3 linked regions of the Canis lupus familiaris genome follow. The protein of the gene in region 3 purifies or fractionates together with the protein of the main gene of each other region. This does not show direct contact. Links are inferred from orthologs where the notes say so. Each region holds a gene or a part of one and is shown on either strand. Other genes may lie near its edges.

Region 1 (2,267 bases), on a different chromosome or scaffold from region 3:
TGTGGCTTTCTTCAACTTGCTGCTCTCCCTCTCTATCCCATCCCTGCGGCCTCCCAAAGTGGGATACTGTGCTTTTTATGCAGTTATCCACCACTCGGACTCTCGAGGAATATGTTGGGCCTGGGGATAGAACCCTGGCTGGGGAGAGGGACACAGGCTCGAAGATCACTTGATTATTTGACCATAAATTAAGTATTCTGATTCGTAAGAGCAGATTGGGGGGCCAGGTGCTCCCAGTGGTGACAATAAAGTGTTGTCTTTTTCTTGGTGTTCCTGTAAGTATATTTTGGGCATTTTAGGGTAGATCGGGAGGATTGGTGGAGGTACCTCCTCCAAGAGGATGCCTATCCCTCTGCCCATCTTTTTTCTTTCAGCACAGTGGGCTCCTTGTAACAAGAAGTCAACAGAAAGAACAGACCAAATAGAACATGTTGAATAAGCCCTGAAATCCTCATACTTCAGGTGGCAGGGAGAGCCCTAAGATTGGACTTGCCTGTTCTCTGGTGCCGAACAGAAGTTTTTAGGGGGAGCAGCGGGAGGGGTTCCCATTTCTTCCCTCTCTCATTTCCCTCTGCAGGATGGGAGGAGGGAGAAAGGAGAGAAGAATGACCAGACCAGGAAGGGAAGGGAGTGGTGTCGACCCCGTTCCTTTAAAAATCCCGGGCCCGCACCGGTTTCCCAGAGGCCCTCGAGGTGGCCCAGACTCCACCCTCTTTGCCTTCCGGTTCTGGGCTCCAGCTGTAGCGTTTAAATCTGGCGCCCTTCGCAAGGATTGGCTACATCGGGGAGGGGTTGGCCGGCTGCGTGCTACCACTCCTCCTCGCCTTTTTCCCCGGGCAAAAGGTTTTCAAATCGGACCAATCGGCGGGCGCGCTGCCTCGGCCGTGGCGCGTCACTGAAGGGTTAACTGCAACCAACCGGAGGCGGGTACCCGAGGAGAGAGCCAATCAGGAGGGCGCGGAGGTGTGCCCTGGGGGCTTATAAGGCCGGCCCCTGGGCGCGCGCGGCAGCAGTTGGACTGCGGCGGGCGGCTGTTCGTTGCCCCCTTCGAGGCGTCCCTCTTCACAGCTCTTCTACCTCGCGCAGCATGTCGGGCCGCGGCAAGACCGGCGGCAAGGCCCGCGCCAAGGCCAAGTCGCGCTCGTCGCGCGCCGGCCTCCAGTTCCCCGTGGGCCGCGTGCACCGGCTGCTGCGGAAGGGCCACTACGCCGAGCGGGTGGGCGCCGGCGCGCCGGTGTACCTGGCGGCCGTGCTCGAGTACCTGACGGCCGAGATCCTGGAGCTGGCGGGCAACGCGGCCCGCGACAACAAGAAGACGCGCATCATCCCCCGCCACCTGCAGCTGGCCATCCGCAACGACGAGGAGCTCAACAAGCTGCTGGGCGGCGTGACGATCGCGCAGGGAGGCGTCCTGCCCAACATCCAGGCCGTGCTGCTGCCCAAGAAGACCAGCGCCACCGTGGGGCCGAAGGCGCCTGCGGGCGGCAAGAAGGCCACGCAGGCCTCTCAGGAGTACTGAGGGGCGCCCGCGCCGCAGCCGGCCCCCATGCCACCACAAAGGCCCTTTTAAGGGCCACCACCGCCCTCACGGAAAGAGCTGAGCCACGTCGGGCTCGGGGCGGGCGGCCGCGGCGCTCGGCTCCCCCCCGCCGCGTCGTCACCGCCGCCGCCGCCGCCCGGCCCGCCCCTCCCCCGCGCGGGCTCGCCTGCCCTCGCTCCCGCCGCCTCCCGGCCGGAGGGCCGCCCGCTCGCCCGGCGCAGGGGCCCGGAGGGGGCCGGGGGCGCGCCGCTGCCCGCCGCGGCGCCAGTGACTCAGCCGCCCGGGCCGCGCTGAGGGCCGCGGGGAGGGCCGCGGGGAGGCCGCGGCGCCGCCTGGAAGAGCCGCTCGGCGCGCTGACGCAGGGCTGAGGTACGCGCCGGGGCCGGGCCGGGCCGGGACTCTCCGGACGCCGCGGTGCGGGGACGACCCGTCACTGTCCGCCCTGCCGCCCCCTCGGCTCGGGCCGAACGCGTCCGCGGGGACCTGCCACCAGGGGGGGAGGGGCGGTGCGCCCCGCGGGCCCCGGGACTGCAGGAGGCGCGCGCCCGCGAACCCCGCCGCCCGGCCCGCTCTCTCCGGCGACCGCTCCGCGGGCCTCGCACCTCCGTACCAGCACCGGCCCGACCGTCCCCATCTGCACTGAGCCTCCGACAGCTTCGGAACTGGAATTTTGCAGCTATCCCCATCCAAGACTAGGACCCTACAGATTGAGGAGTTTCAGATGGAC
Region 2 (3,751 bases), on a different chromosome or scaffold from region 3:
TTTCTGGAAAAGGGGGCAGGACTCTGTGCTGTCACACCAACCACAAGTCTTTCAGAATTTTTGTCTTTGACCATCATTTTAAGGTATAACATAAGTTGCTTTTCCTTATTTGGTTGCAGTTTAGGGATAGGACAGTTTTGGGCAGAATTTTTACGTAATTTTTTTTCTGGATTAGGAGTAAAGGATCTTTGGAACAATCTCACTCTGCTATCTTCACCCTTAAGTCTTACCTAATTAGCATTTATTCATCTGCTTTCTCCAGTAGGCTGAGCTGACTGCGTGGAGGGGCAGTACCTTCTTTACTTCATACCCTCAAAATCTAAGCACAGCACCTAGCAAATAGAACTCTGATGCCTGGAGAAGTATACACTTCAATCCCGAACAGAGTTTTCATCAATACATTAGTAACAGTTCTTTCTTGTAAGTTAAATCAACCTTCCTGGAGCTTTTATCCTGGAATGATGCTGAACTAAAATCATATTACATAACTTTAACCAATACCAACACAAAGACAATTACGGTCCCAGTCTTTAAAGGAGTGAGTGCTGGACTCACAGTTTAAAATTACACACTCTCTGGGGCTGTAAAATGGTGCAGCTGCTGTGAAAACCAGCTTGTTATTTCCTTATTCCTTAAAAAGTTAAACATGTAATAATGTTATGATCCAGCAATCCTATTTCTGGGAATATACCCAAAAGGATTCAAACGATATGTGCATACCCAGGTTCATAGCAACATTATTCACAAAAGCCAAAAAAATGGAAACTCAAGTACCTATCAACAGAAAAGTGGACAGACAAAACGTGGTATATCCATACATTAAAATATTAAGCCATAAAAAAAAAATGAAGTTGTGTGCACATAAAAAAGAATGTGCTACAACATGGATGAACCTTGTAAATGTCACACTGAAATAAGCCAAACACAACACTTGTGTGAAATACCTAGACTGGGCAAATTCATATAGATATAAACTAGATTAGAGTCTATCGGGGAAGAAAGGAATGGAAAATTACTGCTTACTGGGTAACTTCTGCCAAGGAGGGGGAAAAAGTTTTGGTAATAGGTAATAGTTGCACAATGCGAATATAACTGATGCAACTGAATCATACATTTAAGAATTATAATAGCAAATTTAACGTTATATAATAAAGATATATATTTAACACTTAACTTTTTACTGCTACTACACAGCCATTATGATGTCAAACTAAGGAAACATATGCAGCTCTAAAAATATGCTTACAACATGTAATGGCCCTAAGAAAGACTTAGGGGTAGAGAAGGTACACATAAACATTCAGGGGCAGGTCTTCACGAAACACACATTAAAAGCTTTTCCATTAAGCACCAGATCAGAAATCAGTTGGGTTTTTGCTGATTTCCTTTTTTAATACTATAGCATTGAAGGCTTAATATTTCACAGAAATGCTCTTGAGGATTTACTTTACTATGTAATTCTAGTACCATTTAGTTGACTACGGGCCCCTTCAGGGCAGCTACTGCATTTTATTTATCTACGTGTATTTTTATACCAAGCAGCCACAACAGTGATAGCAATCCTGGGTGCGTCAGTTCTTCACAACCCAAAAGTTTGAACATGAAGCTTAATTGTATTACAAGATGGGAGAATCCCCTTTTACCTAACAACTAAAACTTCCAACTTTCTGAGAGCCGGGCCCAAGGACCCGGAAGGGGAGGAAGCGGAGCCACGGAGGGAATTACTGTGTTAATGCCCGACCACCCCCCGGGTCCCGCCCCCGCGGACCCCGCGCTCTCACCAAGTGTAGATCTGGAGCTCGCTGGACGGCACGTTTCCGCGGGAAAACTCGTCCATTCGGTGGTGGCGGCCGTTATTGGTGGTGAAAACACGCAGCAGCAGCGGGCACGTCTGGGAGCAGAGGAGGAAAAGGAGGGCAGAAGTTAAAGAAAGCGGCTCGGGTCCGGGGCTCCCTTTCCCTCCGGAGGCGTCGCGGCCTCTTACAGCCCGGGGAGCAAACACTGCCGCTTCCTGCACGCAGGCCGCGCTCTCCGCCCCGCCGGGCCCACCTCCACCTCTCTCCGGATCCCATACTTTCTCCCGATCGATCGGTTTCTCCGGCTCCTTCTTAATTTCCTCCTGGGTAACGCGCGACTCCACCGCCATCTTCCTCCTACGGCCCGCGAGACGCTCGCTCTGACCTCCGACCCCCGCAGCGAGCATGAGAACGGAGTCTCTCGCGAGGAGAAGCTCGAGGCTTTATAGAGGACCGGGGAGGAGGGGCGGGGCGTTTGCTGGCGCAGGCGCAGTTCGTTGTGCGGCGCGTGAGCCCGGGCCCGGCCACGCCTGCGTGTTGCGTCCTCAGGAAAAAGGCGGGCGTTGGCGTCCGCGGGGCGGGGTTTCTGAGGGATCGTGTCGCTGTGGGTGTTCGGAGGCTGAGGAAGTGACCGCCAGTTGTTCGCGGGACAAACAAGCCGGCGGGGCATTGTTCCCGCGTAGTGAATGTTCGCAAACGAAGGACTCGAGAGTGGTACAGGGGATCAGTGAGTCAGCGGAGCATCAAACTCTGGAATAAAGGAAGACCTGGATGGGAACCGGACGCCAGAGGGAAGACGGAAGAGGCTGCGAAATGGAGGGGAAGACGGTGCTGCAGTGTGTGCTCGCGAAATCGTCAGCCGTCTGTACCGCGGGAGGGTGACGGGCGCCTCCGCACGCGGTGGGCCAGGGACCCGCGTGTGAACAGCAGGACGAGAACTTTGTGGCGTAGCGTGAACGCGCTTCAGGATCAGTGCGTTGGGATACGTGATACAAAAGGCGTGGAGCCAGAGATCGGTGAACCTGACGAGATTTAAATCGAAAAAAAAGTAAAGCCACGAGGCCTGACCTTAAAATACATCATCAAGAAAGAAAAACCACAGAGTGGTAAAAAATTTCCATGATGCAGGTGATTGACAAAAGCTAGTGTCCCATAGCTTTTATTAAAGAACAGACAACCCAATGGAAGATGGGTAAAATAACCGAAAAGTGCTTTTAAAATGAAGAAACCCACATGGCTAATAACCATGAGATGCTCAAGCTCCTTACTAGTCAGAGATTGCATGAAAACCATAGAGCCGGGCAGCCCGGGTGGCTCAGCCGTTTAGCGCCGCCTTCAGCCCGGGGCGTGATCCTGGAGACCCGGGATCAAGTCCAAGTCGGGATCCCTGCATGGAGCCTGCTTCTCCCTCTGCCTGTGTCTCTGCTTCTCTCTCTGTCTTTCATGAATAAATAAATAATAAAAAATCTTTTAAAAATTACTATGCCATGTATTTACTTGTACCCCAAACACTGAAGTGTAATTTAAAAAAATAAAATGTATTGGGCAGCCGCGGTGGCCCAGTAGTTTAGCGCCGCCTTCAGCCCAGGTTGTGATCCTGGAGACCCTGGATCGAGTCCCCCGTCGGGCTCCCTGCATGGAGCCTGCTTCTCCCTCTGCCTGTGTCTCTGCCTCTCTCTCTCTCTCTCTGTGTGTGTGTCTCTCATGAATAAATAAAATCTTAAAAAAAAAAAAAAAAACATAGTGATTGGTTTGTAACAAACTACACTCACTAACAAAGCAAAAATTTGACATTTGTTGGTGGACTGATGGGCATTTTCTAATACTCGTGGTGAAAGCAGATTGGTATACCCACTTTGGTACCCACTTTGGAAAGTAGTTTAGGATTATTTAGTAAAGTCGAAGATGTGTATACTTTAGATCTAACAATCCCGCTGCTTGGTATATACTCTAGA
Region 3 (3,751 bases):
GGGAAAGGGCTTAGCGACCACAAGTTTCTTCCCTCAAGTCTGCAAAAACAATGCTCCCGCCAGACACTGGGCTATTTGGTCACACTGCACCCGCAAGACCAGGCCTCATCTGCTACCAGTCCTCAGTAACTAGGCGATGAGTTACAAACTGACAGGAAATCAGAAACAGTAGCACAAAAAGAGCATAACAAGGTAAAGGCTGAAACTCTTCATCCAACCTTCTCCTGAAAACTTCAGTCTACCCAGGACTCACCACCAAACTTCACAGTTCCCCAGTTCCAGCCTTTCACACAGAGGTCCTTCTCCATCAGCTCAAGGCGATAGTGAGTTTTGAAGAAATCAGAGAGTTTCTCAAACTCCTGTGGGCAGAGGGGGAGAGAGCAATCCCTGTAAGCCCCAGTGGCCTTAACACATTCTGGGATTCTCTCTGACAAACTGCCCCGATATACCTTCAGCAAACCCACTGTTGAAAGAAGCTGTTGCTGGGGACTGGATGTCAGAGCAGGGGAGGAGGAAAGTATGGAAATGACATTCCTGGTTATGTGCCTCACCGTGCTCTCTGACTTTGTGTGGGCAGTGCTTTGATGAAAGTGAAATTCAAATGCAGTACTGTCTTTAACTCAAACATGTCGAAACATTAAAACAAAAAAACTCAAACTAAAGTACCAAGACTCTGAATCTGGATAAAGGCAATGAGCAGAAACCACCAAAACATCACAATAACAGAAAATCTTCTGGAGTCAAAGCACAAGACATCCAAAGCTGAACCGTGCTTCATGGCCGCAATGGCCCTGCTCTAAGGAGCCAAAATTAGCAATTACACGGCCATCAAAGGAGCCCCAACTCTTTCTAGATTAAAAATAAACAACGTGGCACAGTAAACGGGGGTTTATGGCCACAGGACACCTCACCGATTCTCGGAAGCCGTCATACTTGTAGACGTGGCCATTCTTTGTAAGCAGTTTAAGTCCATGGCCCAGGGCGACTCGGCGCCAGATGCCTTCCGTCAGCTCCCCAGCCTGGATGTTATCCACTTTGCCCGTCTTACTGTTCTTGAAGATGATACCCTGGCGGCTCAACCTTAGCCGACCATCGTTCTGTTGGAAAAAACAGGCCCAAATGCAAGGGTACAATACACACTGTGTCCGGGGCACAGACAGTCCCACCCAACACCTACCTACACCGGGCTGGCCAGATCCAGATACAGGACCAACAGCTGGCAAGGGTGAGGGTCAGAAAGAAGAAAAAAAGTAACCTGGAAATCTGGATCCTAAAACCAAACCCTGGTAACCAGGTCCTTAGTCTGCAGTGGGGAATGGAGCGCACGACGACGGTCCCTTTCAAAGTCTGCAATCCTCTAACTCCTACACAGATGCTTTTTGAATAACGGTGGCTCAACTTACAACCTTTCAACTTTATGACGGTGTGGAAACGATATGCAACGAACAGAAACCATAATTTGAATCTGTATCTTTTCCTGAGCTAGCAGCAGGTGGTATATAATCCCCTCAGGACGCTGGTGCAGTGGTAGTGAACCATAGCTCCCAGCCAGCCACACAGTCACCCGGGTTGATCACCACCAGGCCACAACCGATACCCAACCATTCCCTACTCATTCTGTTTCACTCTCAGGATGGTATTTCATAAACCACATGAGGTGTCCAAACTCAATCATAAAATAAACCTTGTGATGGTTGCGCCGAAGCGCACGCCAACGTAAACACTCTGGGCCTGTTTAAAGTGGGTAAGACTAACCTGCCCTGTTCATCGGGTTAGAAACATTACTGTGATTTTTTTTTTTTTTTTTTTTTTGCTCAAACAGTATTTTCGACTTACAACGGGTTTTTGGCCACGTGACCCCACTGGACCCGGTAGGGAGATCTGCAGGCATTGCCTTTTGTTGGGGAAAACACCCAACTACACATTCCACTCGGACTCCTTTTCCAAAATAGCAGCATCATGGATAATGGATAAAAAGCCTACTCTCCTTCCATCTCTCAGCCTATCGAAAAGCCCAAGCCCTTCTTACCATGGAGCCTTTCACCTCCTGATAGACGTCGTTGAACTCCAGTGTTTCCGCCATTCTGATCAGCCCCTGTTGGCCTCAACTGGGAGCTGGGCCCCAACTCCTGGGTGGGTGTGCAGATACTCAGCAGGTTGGGAATCTGAATTCAAGAAGGGGGGGGTGGGAGAGTGGGTAGACAAACATCAAAGGCAGCACCTCCCTGAGCCCGTGGATGGAGCCAGGTGGCAAGGCCCGGCTGCACCTGGGATGTGTCCGGATCTCGTCTCCCAGGGACCCCACGGCAGGCCCTGCAAACCTCCAGGAGCCAGGCCCAGCCGCGGCTGGGGAACCCGGCCCGGAGTCGCGCTTACAGCGGGACCAGACGCCGGCTCGGGGCGCTCCAGCGGGCGCCATGGCAACGAGCAGCGGAACCCCGGGGGCTGCACCTCTGCGGCTCGCGACCCGGCTCCGAGGGCAAGGCTTCCCTCCCGGCGCTCCCGCCGCGCCGCGGCCCCGGGCCCAAGCCCCCCCCCGCCCCCTAAAATGGATTCGCCCGCCGCCCGTGGATTCGAACGCGGAACGGCCCATCACGGGCGGCCCGCGGGGGGGAGCGAGGCCCGCAGCCTCCCGGGGCACGCGGCGGCGACCACCCACCTCCTCGAGCGGCAGCCTCGCGACGGCCCAGGTGCGGGCGGTGGGCGCGCTGGGGGACGCGGGAGGGGGGGCGGGGACAGGGGGTCGGGGGGACGCTCGGGAAGGTTTTCCCGCGTGCGCGGCCCCGAGGCCCGCCACCGGAAGCGGTGCAGGGACCATAGAGAGAGCGAGCGAGCTAGAGAGACGCGAGCCCGGCCCGCCTGCGAGGCGGCCGCCTAGAGCGCCAGCCGGCCTGGAGGACCTGGGGGGGGCCGCGTGCGGTGCACCCTGCGGGGACCCCGAGGCGGAGGTGCCGGCGCGTAGGGCTCCTTCTTTAAAAGTCACACCTGTTGAGGGGAGGACGGGGTCCTGGGGAGAAGCCGTGCACTTGTCTCCCGTCTGACCTCCCGCGGACGCCTGCGTGCGCCTTTCCCGCGTCCCGCCCGGGACGGTCCTGGGGAGCAGGGGGCCGCGGTGTCGGTGTCGCAGTGACTGCCCCGTCCTCCCGCCACACGGCACCGGATGCTCTTTGAAAGGGCTTCTCTGTCCGCACCCAAAACTTCCCTCCCGAAGCCCGCAGTCCATGTAGGGGTGGTGGCCGGCGGGGTCCGCGGGGGGCGGGGCGGGGGCGGGGGGGGGTCACGGTCAGACCTGCCGGATGGCAGGGGGGGACCCGGTGCCCGCACCGAAGTGGATGGCGGGGGGTCCCCGCATCAGTGTGGATGGCGGGGGGGGTCCCCGCACCGAAGTGGATGGCAGAGGGGGTCCCCGCATCAGTGTGGATGGCAGAGGGGGGGGTTCCCCGCATCAGCGTGGATGGCAGGGGGGTCCCCGCATCAGCGTGGATGGCAGGGGGGTCCCCGCACTGGCGTGGATGGCAGAGGGGGGTCCCCACAGCAGCGTGGATGGTAGAGGGGGGCCCCGCACCAGTGTGGGTGGGGGGCGTCCCCGGTGCCCGCACCAGCGTGGATGGCAGGGGGGGTCCCCACACACCGGCGTGGATGGCAGAGGGGGGTCCCCACAGCAGCGTGGATGGTAGAAAGGGGTCCCCACCAGCGTGGATGGCAGAGGGAGGATCTCGGCATCAGCGTGATGGCACATCTTATAAAATCA

The links.
Region 1: the proteins of SSRP1 (region 3) and H2AX purify together in Homo sapiens (affinity purification with mass spectrometry; 4 studies listed by BioGRID and IntAct, counting the BioPlex papers as one, with this or other methods). This does not show direct contact. The link is inferred for Canis lupus familiaris from reciprocal best matches to the Homo sapiens genes SSRP1 and H2AX.
Region 2: the proteins of SSRP1 (region 3) and SAP18 fractionate together in Homo sapiens (co-fractionation; 3 studies listed by BioGRID and IntAct, with this or other methods). This does not show direct contact. The link is inferred for Canis lupus familiaris from reciprocal best matches to the Homo sapiens genes SSRP1 and SAP18.

What each region holds. Positions count from the first base shown.
Region 1 is NC_049226.1:14,790,815-14,793,081, forward strand, and holds H2AX (histone H2AX), read left to right. Parts: upstream 1-984; 5' UTR 985-1,087; coding exon 1,088-1,519; 3' UTR 1,520-1,676; downstream 1,677-2,267. UniProt on the Homo sapiens protein: Variant histone H2A which replaces conventional H2A in a subset of nucleosomes. Nucleosomes wrap and compact DNA into chromatin, limiting DNA accessibility to the cellular machineries which require DNA as a template.
Region 2 is NC_049246.1:17,090,627-17,094,377, forward strand, and holds the start of SAP18 (histone deacetylase complex subunit SAP18), read right to left. Parts: upstream 2,254-3,751; 5' UTR 2,204-2,253; coding exon 2,075-2,203; intron 1,892-2,074; coding exon 1,782-1,891; intron 1-1,781. UniProt on the Homo sapiens protein: Component of the SIN3-repressing complex. Enhances the ability of SIN3-HDAC1-mediated transcriptional repression. When tethered to the promoter, it can direct the formation of a repressive complex to core histone proteins.
Region 3 is NC_049239.1:39,269,531-39,273,281, reverse strand, and holds the start of SSRP1 (FACT complex subunit SSRP1), read right to left. Parts: upstream 2,794-3,751; 5' UTR 2,660-2,793; intron 2,501-2,659; exon of another isoform or gene 2,268-2,500; intron 2,166-2,267; 5' UTR 2,084-2,165; coding exon 2,030-2,083; intron 1,098-2,029; coding exon 912-1,097; intron 360-911; coding exon 254-359; intron 1-253. UniProt on the Homo sapiens protein: Component of the FACT complex, a general chromatin factor that acts to reorganize nucleosomes. The FACT complex is involved in multiple processes that require DNA as a template such as mRNA elongation, DNA replication and DNA repair.